Linked DNA regions of Neurospora crassa OR74A. The protein of the gene in region 2 binds, or shares a complex with, the protein of the main gene of each other region. Links are inferred from orthologs where the notes say so. Each region holds a gene or a part of one and is shown on either strand. Other genes may lie near its edges.

Region 1 (4,282 bases), on a different chromosome or scaffold from region 2:
TCTGAGTACCCCTGAGGGTGAGCGGGAGGAAATGTTTACGAAACTCGCTGGGCCGTTGAAGGTGTTTGCGGAGCTGGGTTAGACTCGATGAATTGGTGAGAGACAGAGGGTGAGGGGGGGTTCTATGGCGAGCAGAGCTGGTCTGCGGCCAGAGGCTGTGGAAGAAAGGGAAGACGTGAAACAAAAGCAAGATAACTTCATCATTTTGGGCCCAAGCGTGCGTTAGGGTTAGAAGAACACGATATCCAACATATCTAGGGTGTCGTCTTGGTGTCAAGGTTAAAATGGGTTGGAGTTTTGTGGCTGTTATATTAGCTCAACGGATGCATACCTTACGGCGGGATTAGAAAGTAGACTTTTCAACGCGAAGCATTGCAAGTGGAGAGAAAGAAGACGTCAAGCCCTCTCGCTAGATGATTGATCACGGCATAAAATAACCCCATAACTGTCTCGTAATAATCCAAATCCAGCCCAGCCCATAAGCGCTTCATCAGCCAGTGCCCGCCTCTTTCCCGAAACCCATTTGATCATATCCCATAGCTGTCATCCGGCTCAAGTCCCGGCACTTGTACAATCATGGTCTCCCACCATGCGTAAATCGGTTCCGCACCCAACCGTTGTTCGGAAGTCGCTACCTCTTTGTAGTTCTGTGTCATTGTTGTGTGTGTCTCAGACTCTGGACCATTCTGTCGTAGTCGAAATTATTGGTCGGCTAGTCAGAAGTCTTGCTCTTCCTGGAAGAACATGGCGAAGCTGATAATGGTGCCATAGATCAACAGGCCACCGATAACGGACATGATCATGGCCGGGACCGTGATGATGGCCGAGTTTGCGAGAACAACTGGAAGAGCTGTTTGTCGAAGAGGGGAGGAGAGAGATGTCAGCTACCGTACATGCAACACAACACAAACACAGGATACACGCCAGCCACAAGATGGAGGAGTAAACCTACCAAGTCCCATCATGACCAGGAAACCAGTGCAGAAGCGACCCAGATCCAACACCGCAGCGCCCGAGCTCTCAACAAAGTCGTCCGGATTGGCGCAATGGCTGCAGATCCAGTTGGGTATGGGCGCCAACACGTAGGTGGCCACCACCAGCAGCGGGTAGTATGCCTTCCATAGTGCGCATGACAAGATGACGAGGAGGAAGCCCACCGCCAAGACGAAGGAGAGCGCGATGATGGTCTTGAGTCCTGCTGCCATCTCGGGTGGATATGTGAAAGCTTCTGGTTGCGAAGGCGTTCAAGTTTTGGGCACAGTTGAAATCAGGGCGTCGTTTACGCCGGTAACCCGGAGAATCTGCCCAGGTAGAGTCGGAGTGTCGCGGGCCTGCCGGGATCAAAGGTGTTTGTTGCGCAGACGTGGCTAACTGGTAATCGATGGAAATGTAGTGTAAGCGCTGCCTGCTGTTTTTTGTGATCGAGAACCTGACAAACTATCGCGTGGGTTACTCGGCTTGCGCGCTTCGTCGATTCGTTGCTGTAGCAGGCGACAACTCGTGATGGTGGTGATGCAGTGTGCTTCCAGGTTGTGGTGGAGAGTTGCCCGTGTCGTTGGAGGAGCTCCAGCGAGCGGGAACAAGTGACGACTGCCCGCACTGACGCTTTGGCTGTCGTCAGTCAGCCTCTTCCTGGCTCTCGCTCAGCGCATTCCGTTCCATACCTACCTCTACCTATGTAGCGCGCACCTGGCCGCCCGCACTTACACTACAAGTCCTATAAGGTGAGTACAAGCAAAAGTGGGTCTGACTTTCTTTTGGCGGGCAAGGGAGGTACCTGCAGCGACGTACCAGTTGCCTGCCCGCCCGCGCGTTGCCTGTTCCCGCCCTCCGTCACCCAACATCCATCCTCATTGCCTGGGCGGCGGGACCTGACGAAGCTAGGAGCTGCCTGCGCAACTGCCCGCGGGAGGAAGCAACCACTGTCCACTGACCTCCCCCCATCCATCCCACCCAGACTACCTCTACACCACCACCATCGTCACTATCAGCACAAACAACAATCTTTCGCGTCCTCCAAACACCCGCCAGAAGAAACCGACGAGATACTTGCCGGCAAAAATCCCCGATACCCCCGCCGCAATCTGCTCTTGTTTCCCAGTCTCCTCGATAGAGGTGTCCAGCAGCCATGTTCAGGAACAACTACGACAACGACTCGGTCACATTGTAAGCGAAGCTGTCCCGCAGCCGCCAGCTAGACTGGGGGCCCTGCTTCCAAACGCCCAAAGCTCTGCACTTGACGAGGTCTGCCCTCGACATTCAGCTAACAACTGCTTTCCCTCCAGCTCTCCGCAAGGGCGAATTTTCCAGGTCGAATATGCGGCGGAAGCAGTAAAGCAGGGTTCGGTGGTGGTGGGAATTGCTAGCAAGACACACGCCGTCCTGGTAGCGATCAAGGTACTTCGCCCCGACCACCCCTCGCGCACCACCCTGCCGATACATGTATCCTCCCATCCATCCTAGGGCCAAGTGAAGCTGACCATGTTCCTGTCACTTTGTCCAGCGTAACGCCGAAGAACTCTCATCGTACCAAAAGAAGCTCTTTCCCATCGACGAACATGTCGGCATCGCCATCGCCGGCCTCACCTCGGACGCGCGCGTCCTCTCCAACTTCATGAAGCAGCAGTCCCTCGGCCACCGCCTCACGTACGGCCGCAACATGCCCGTGCGGACCCTTGTCGACATGATCGGATCCAAGGCGCAGATCAACACGCAACACTACGGTAAGCGGCCCTACGGTGTCGGTCTCCTGGTCGCCGGCGTTGACGACCACGGCCCGCACCTTTTCGAGTTCCAGCCCAGCGGCATGACCGAGGAGATGGTGGCCTTTGCCATTGGCGCCCGCAGCCAGATGGCGCGCACATATTTGGAGAAGAACCTAGAGGCCTTTGCCGACTGCGGCCGCGAGGAGCTGATTCGTCATGGTCTCAAGGCGCTCAAGGAGAGCCTGGTGCAAGACCGCGAGTTGACCATCGACAATACCAGCGTCGCCATTGTGGGTGTCGAGAAGCAGGAGGACGGCACGACCAAGCCGCAGCCATTCATGGTGTACGATGGACAAGACGTCAGCGCATGGATAGAGAGTGTGGCGGATAACCAAGAGGCTGCCCCGGCAGCTGCCGAGGGCGAGGGTATGGATGTCGATAGCTAAAGGTTGAAAATGTGGGGTTTGCTTTGAGGCATAGGTGCAGATTTAGCACATGGAGCGCATACACCCGGAATGAAGTAATGAGATGAACAAGTCCCCTTTATGTTAATGCATTGTTTTGTGTCTACTGACATCATGACGCGAATCCCACCGATCAAGCAAACTGGTACACTAAGAGCTTTAGAATGATGGCCCAGCCTGAGAAACAGGACCCCTGAACGCCGTCGTCCATCCAGAAAGAAGCTGCGCGATGCAAGGTAACAGCAACTGCTTTCCCAAGCAGGAAAGGGAAACCTCAAGCAAACGATCTTCCCTCGTCTCCTACCCCCCATGCCTACTCATCACTCCAGTTCAGCTTGAAAACCGCCTCGGACACCTTATACTCCCTCAGCGCCTTGATTGCATCCTCCGGGTTCTTCGCCTCCACCATGATCTTTCCATTCGCCTGGTTCACAAATCCCTCTTGGATGCTGTTCTGGATCCAGTGCAGAATACCGTCATAAAAGCCGTTGATGTTGAGCAGGACGATGCCCTTGTCGTGGATGCCCAGCTGGTTCCACGTCACCGTCTCGAACAGCTCCTCCATGGTGCCGTAGCCGCCACTCAGGGCGATGAAGCCCGATCCGGGGCCGCCCGCTAACACCTCCTGCGCCATCATCATCTTGCGCGTGTGCATGTCCTTGACGATGGTCGTTCGGCCAAAGACGTTCTCATCAGGGACGGGAAGCTTCTTGGCCTTTGCCTCCTCGTCGGCAGCGGAATCCTTCTGGCCGCCGCTCACCTGGGTGGACGTGTAGTGAGGGTCGCGCTCGTACCGGACCAGAGCCTCGGGGATGATGCCGTGGACGGAGTCAGGGCCGGACAGGGAAACAAGGGTCTTGGCGATTTCGCCCATGAGACCGACTGTGCCACCACCGTAGACTGTGACTTTGCTGTTAGTGAGGAGTTCCAGTAGTAGTAGTAGCAGTAGTAGTGTTTGGGTAGGAGAAGTAAGTCAGTACCGAGGTCAATGTTGTTGGCGGCCATGCTACGGGCGAGCTGGCGCGCGGCTTCGAGGTAGATGGGGTTGTTGCCGGCGGATGCGCCGCAGTAGACGCAGATCTTGGTCCGCTTGGGGCTGGAGGTAACACCGTT
Region 2 (4,694 bases):
TGAGGGTAGATGGATGGCAGAAATTTGTATTTGAAAGCTGTTGTTCTTTCTGTTGATCTTGTTTATTACCCCACAATGTCTCTAAATTAGTGTGAACTGCGGAAATAAGGTTTGATATTCGTTGGGGAGGGGGAACCCTGACGGGTAGCCGAGTGTGATGCTGTGAGGATTTGCGACCACCGTTTCAGTCACCACTCATCTCGGTTCACCTTTCAACGCTTGCAGAATTCAGGGCCGTTTGAGAGATCATCCGATATCGAGATGCCACGTTATGCTCTGCAGTCACCTGTGCAGGGAACTGTCAAGTGTCTCAAAAGATGTCTGTACTCGGCAGGAATAACGGGATGGACTGATATTGATGCATGCCAGGGCACATCTTGCACTGAACTCCTCAGCGAGGCAGATGTTCGCTCGAGCATCGTTGAACCACAATCCTTCACAATTGACAAAAGTTAAGGTTACTAGAGCATTTCGAGGGTCGTTTTCACAGAACCCCCCTGGCGTCCTATAGTGATATTCTGTTTTGGTCGTTCCAATATTTGATATGCTACGTATTGGCGGTAGCGAAGAGGAAGAGTGGTTGTGTTGTTCTAACGGAGTACTTCGGGTTTGTCGGATACCAACTATGAGGGATGGTGCTCTAACGCGGATGCCAGAATCATGCGGAATTCTGAAAAATATGGTGAAAATTCGAAGTCAGTGTTTGAACCATGAGAGATCTTTCTGGCAGACGACCGACACCTGGATCTTCATTCAAGCTGCAGGTCTTGATCGGTTTAGTTTTGAGGACCAAGCTTTGGATCATCAGGAGCGAGTTGCAATCGGTTGTACTTTGTACAGTTCACATCTTGAGCCACGAAAAAAAGGTAAGTAAATCCACACTATGGAAGACCCGCTCGAAAATCAATAAATGAGTCGTCGTAGAAGCAGCAAACCACTGGTGTAGCAACTCAAGGACGAAATGCAAGATGATATTGAAGAATGATCAAAATCAAACAACAGGTGGTCACATTGTCAACGGACCACATACGGAAACCCGTGAAATCTGTTTGATGCTATACTTAACATTTCAGTTTTACCAGGACAATATCGGGGCAGCGAAACCGGCGGACTGGAAACCGTTTCACCCTCTAGAATGAGAGTATCGGGTAGGCAACGTAACAGTAAGTTAACAAGAAGGCCAGCAAACATTGTTCATCAGAGTCATCAAGCCTCTGGGTTATCGAGAATTTGGATGGCATGGCAAGTCATCGGGGTAAAACGCTTCATTATGATACAAGACATGCCCAACCCAACGCTAGCTCTATTGCATGCCAAATTTCTATGAACCGTCCATGACCTTGCTGTTTGCCGTAGTTCGGTCGTCGCTTTCAGTACGGTAGGAAATGCAATAACATTAAGCGTAGAAGTTGACGGTCTGAACGCGTGGTCAGTAAGCAGCACACAAGCATTGGTTGTCTTGGGGAAAATACTCACTTCCTTCTTCTTGGCCTGCACCTCAGAAATAGCGTCAACGTAGTGTTCGTGTCCAATCTGATTCTTGCCCATACGGAGGGCAATCATGCCAGCCTCGACACACACAGCCTTCAGCATGGCACCGCCAAACTCATCCGTGCTGCGCGCCAACTCGCCCCAGTTAACGCCGGGGTTGACCTTCATCTTCCTGGAATGAATCTTGAGAATCTGTGCGCGTGCCTCCTCGTTCGGAAGAGGGAACTCGATCTTGCGGTCAAGACGACCGGAACGAAGCAAAGCGGGGTCGAGGACGTCGATACGGTTCGTCGCGGCGAGAACCTTGATACGGTCGTCAGAAGCGAAACCGTCGAGCTGGTTGAGGAGCTCCAACATGGTTCGCTGGACTTCACGATCGCCGGACTTCTCGCTGTCGAAACGCTTGGTACCGACGGCATCCAACTCGTCGATGAAGATAATTGACGGGGCCTTCTCTTTTGCTAGGGCGAAGCAGTCCCTTACGAGCTTGGCACCGTCTCCGATAAACATCTGCACTAGCTGGGGGCCAGCAAGCTTGAGGAATGTGGCATCTGTCTGAGCGGCGCAAGCTCTGGCAAGTAAAGTCTTGCCTGTTCCGGGAGGTCCGTACATCAAAGCTCCTATTCCTGAAGTTAGCAGCAATACCACAGCAGCGAGTTTCTGCTCCATCTTGGTGAAGACATACCCTTGGGCGCCTTGATACCGATCTTCTTAAACCGTTCGGCTTCCTTCATAGGCCACACAATAGCCTCGACAAGTTCGTCAATCTGTTTGTCGAGACCACCGACATCTGTGTACTTCTCCTGAGGCTTCTCGTCGACCTCCATAGCCTTGACTCTGCTGTCGTACTCGGCGGGCAACGTATCCAGAATAAGGTACGAATCCTTGTTAACACCGATGAGATCGCCGGGCTTCAACTTCTCGGGGTCGACCAAGCCGATGAGAGGGAGAAAGATGGTCTGTCTGGTCGATGTCTTGATGACTGCCGATTTACCCACGCGCGTGGCATCCAAGTCGATGTTGGCGCCCTCTTCGGAGGACTCGGCGGTCGGGTCAAGGTCCAAAAGTTCAACGACATTTCCTACGAGATACGGAAGTTGTCTGATGAGGCCAGCGTTAGTAGGGGAGGTTTCGCGGCTACTGAAGGCAAACCTTAGGGGAGTGTAGGGGGAATGTTTACCGGTTGTTGGCAATCTTTTCTTGGTTCTCCTTGATCTTGTCCTTCATGGTAGCCCTCTCATGTGATAACCGCTGGTATTCGCTCTTCATGATTCTGGCATCGTTCTCGAGGAGGCGCTTCCGCATCAGGATGTCCTCTGTGCTCAAACTCAGGATCTCCTCATCTAGGATGTCATCGGCCTCGGGCTCGGCATCCTTCATCTCGGCATCGCCATCTCCCTCTTTCTTGTTGTTCTTATCCTTGTCCTGATCCTTCTTCTTGTCCTCGCGCTCACGGCGATCGAGGTCGTCGAGTTCCTCAAGGGTCGACATGGCTGACGCAGACGGGTGCGAATGTGGGGTATCGGTAGGGAAAGTCGCAAGGGCGCAGAGATCGGGTTACTGATCCTCTGTATGTAATCTCCACGGAATTTGAAACGACGACGTGGAGTAGTAGTGGTGGTTAGTGATGAAAATCGCCGTTGTTTGCGTTGTGGTTGGGAGACCGGCGGTCGTGCTTGTAGTGCAGTGCTGCGTGGATGGTGGCAGTTGCGTGGTCGACATGCGGCACAGAGCTTCGAGTGCTGTCGGTGGTTGACCAGGAGCTGGGCTGCAGGCAAAAGCGCGACGTAACAAGGCCGGGTACCTAACGCCCCACAGTATGTACATAGTACTTCAGCTCTAGACCCCACTCTGACCCCAGAGTGAACCAGCCACAGCTGACTAACCACGCGGCATCGGCCATCCAGGTTCACGGTTTCAATTCAGTCGAGTTTCACTGCACGATCATTCATCTGCTGTGCTTCACTCAATTTCGATGTTCATGAAGTCTTAAACGGAGTTGACCAAAACCCTTGAGCTAGTCCCTTACGGGGAAGCGGCTCGATAACACAGGAATTGATTCGATACATCCCTCATCGGACTAAAAATATACCAGCGCATTACATTAGAGTACGAGAAGGCCGTATTCACACCTCTCGTCAAGTGTCAAGTATCAACTCTCCCAGGACAACCACGATGCCGGACTGATCCTGATGCGTTTGAGCCCCAATAACCACAGTCGTCTACTCGTCGTCCAAGATCCCGCTTGCTATCGGCCCAAAAATCGGTACTTCGTATCTGGAAACCAAGTCAGCTTTTGTCCACTCGTTTGGATCCCGGAAGACATACCTGTCTAACGTGTCGGCGTCCCTATAAGCATTAATAACCAGCCATCCTACCAACGCCAAATCCGCCAGAAATAACAGCCAGCTAAGGAAACTCGACCAAGAAATCAACAAATGAAGCACAAACAATGCCGTAAACAGCAGACTGGACTGCCATGCGTGGAACCTAATCCCCAGTTCCACATGTCAGCAACGCTAACTCCTCGACCATACCGAGAGATGGGTCTTGTTTCACTCACCTGACATAATCACTCTTCCGCTCCAAAATCAACAGCAAAATCGCTCCCAGCGGCGGCACTGCCAAATACGCCAAACACGCCTCATAATCCAGCCTCAGTCCCAAGCTCGTATCAAACTCGGACACCATCCCCTCTCGAGCGCCCAGCGCATTGAAATATTCGCCCATGCTTCCTCCTACTCCTCCTCCTCCTCCTCCACCACCACTGCCGTTCCTACTGTTGAACCCAATGCCACTGCCGATCCCATTGGCGGTGCCAGGAGTAGCACTCGGACTTTGATACCTGCTGATGCCCTCACCCGACCAAGCACGATGTGGTTGTGGGTGTAGAAGTGGCGGAGGCGATACTTGCGCTGGGCGCTGTTGGTACTTGTTTCCGCTGCTGGGGGAGTAGGAAGAACGGCGGCCGTAGTCCCATGATGTGCGTGGGGAGGAGGTGGAGTCGGGTGGTGAGATGGTGCGCCCATGCTCCGGGGGTGCGGCTTGGTAAGGTGCGAAGTCCATTGTTTTGTTTGTTCTTGTTTTGCCTTTCCTGAGACAGTTGTGATGTGTAGTAGGTTAGGAAATCTCGTGTGCGATTATTGGAATGCTCGTTTCGATTTGTAAGAGCGTGTCCTTGTGTCAGGTATGTATCGTATCCT

Evidence for each region. Proteins that work in one complex are often made in the same cells at the same time.
Region 1: the proteins of rpt-5 (region 2) and pca-6 are in contact, whole or in part, in a cryo-EM structure (PDB 6EF2), measured with the Saccharomyces cerevisiae proteins. The link is inferred for Neurospora crassa OR74A from reciprocal best matches to the Saccharomyces cerevisiae genes RPT5 and PRE5. Residues at the interface, in NP_014760.3 of Saccharomyces cerevisiae: Asp373, Asn375, Glu378, Asp384, Asn405, His412, Glu413, Glu417, Ser427, Ser429, Val430, Phe432, Tyr433, Ala434; in NP_014045.1 of Saccharomyces cerevisiae: Arg18, Gln31, Gly32, Ser33, Arg51, Gln60, Lys62, Leu74, Ala75, Gly76, Leu77, Ala78, Arg164, Gln166, Thr170, Arg202.

What each region holds. Positions count from the first base shown.
Region 1 is NC_026505.1:4,357,676-4,361,957, reverse strand, and holds pca-6 (proteasome component PRE5), read left to right. Parts: upstream 1-1,655; 5' UTR 1,656-2,128; coding exon 2,129-2,166; intron 2,167-2,285; coding exon 2,286-2,397; intron 2,398-2,503; coding exon 2,504-3,151; 3' UTR 3,152-3,322; downstream 3,323-4,282. Other genes in the region: NCU06714 (para-aminobenzoic acid synthetase), read left to right, coding at 1-82; NCU06713 (vacuolar protein sorting protein 55), read right to left, coding at 717-850, 953-1,205; NCU06711 (hypothetical protein), read right to left, coding at 3,483-4,069, 4,150-4,282. UniProt on the Saccharomyces cerevisiae protein: The proteasome degrades poly-ubiquitinated proteins in the cytoplasm and in the nucleus. It is essential for the regulated turnover of proteins and for the removal of misfolded proteins.
Region 2 is NC_026504.1:3,449,874-3,454,567, forward strand, and holds rpt-5 (regulatory particle, ATPase-like-5 protein), read right to left. Parts: upstream 3,286-4,694; 5' UTR 2,983-3,285; coding exon 2,672-2,982; intron 2,593-2,671; coding exon 2,177-2,592; intron 2,112-2,176; coding exon 1,477-2,111; intron 1,418-1,476; coding exon 1,397-1,417; 3' UTR 920-1,396; downstream 1-919. Other genes in the region: NCU04413 (UPF0132 domain-containing protein), read right to left, coding at 3,714-3,768, 3,820-3,981, 4,055-4,557. UniProt on the Saccharomyces cerevisiae protein: The 26S proteasome is involved in the ATP-dependent degradation of ubiquitinated proteins. The regulatory (or ATPase) complex confers ATP dependency and substrate specificity to the 26S complex.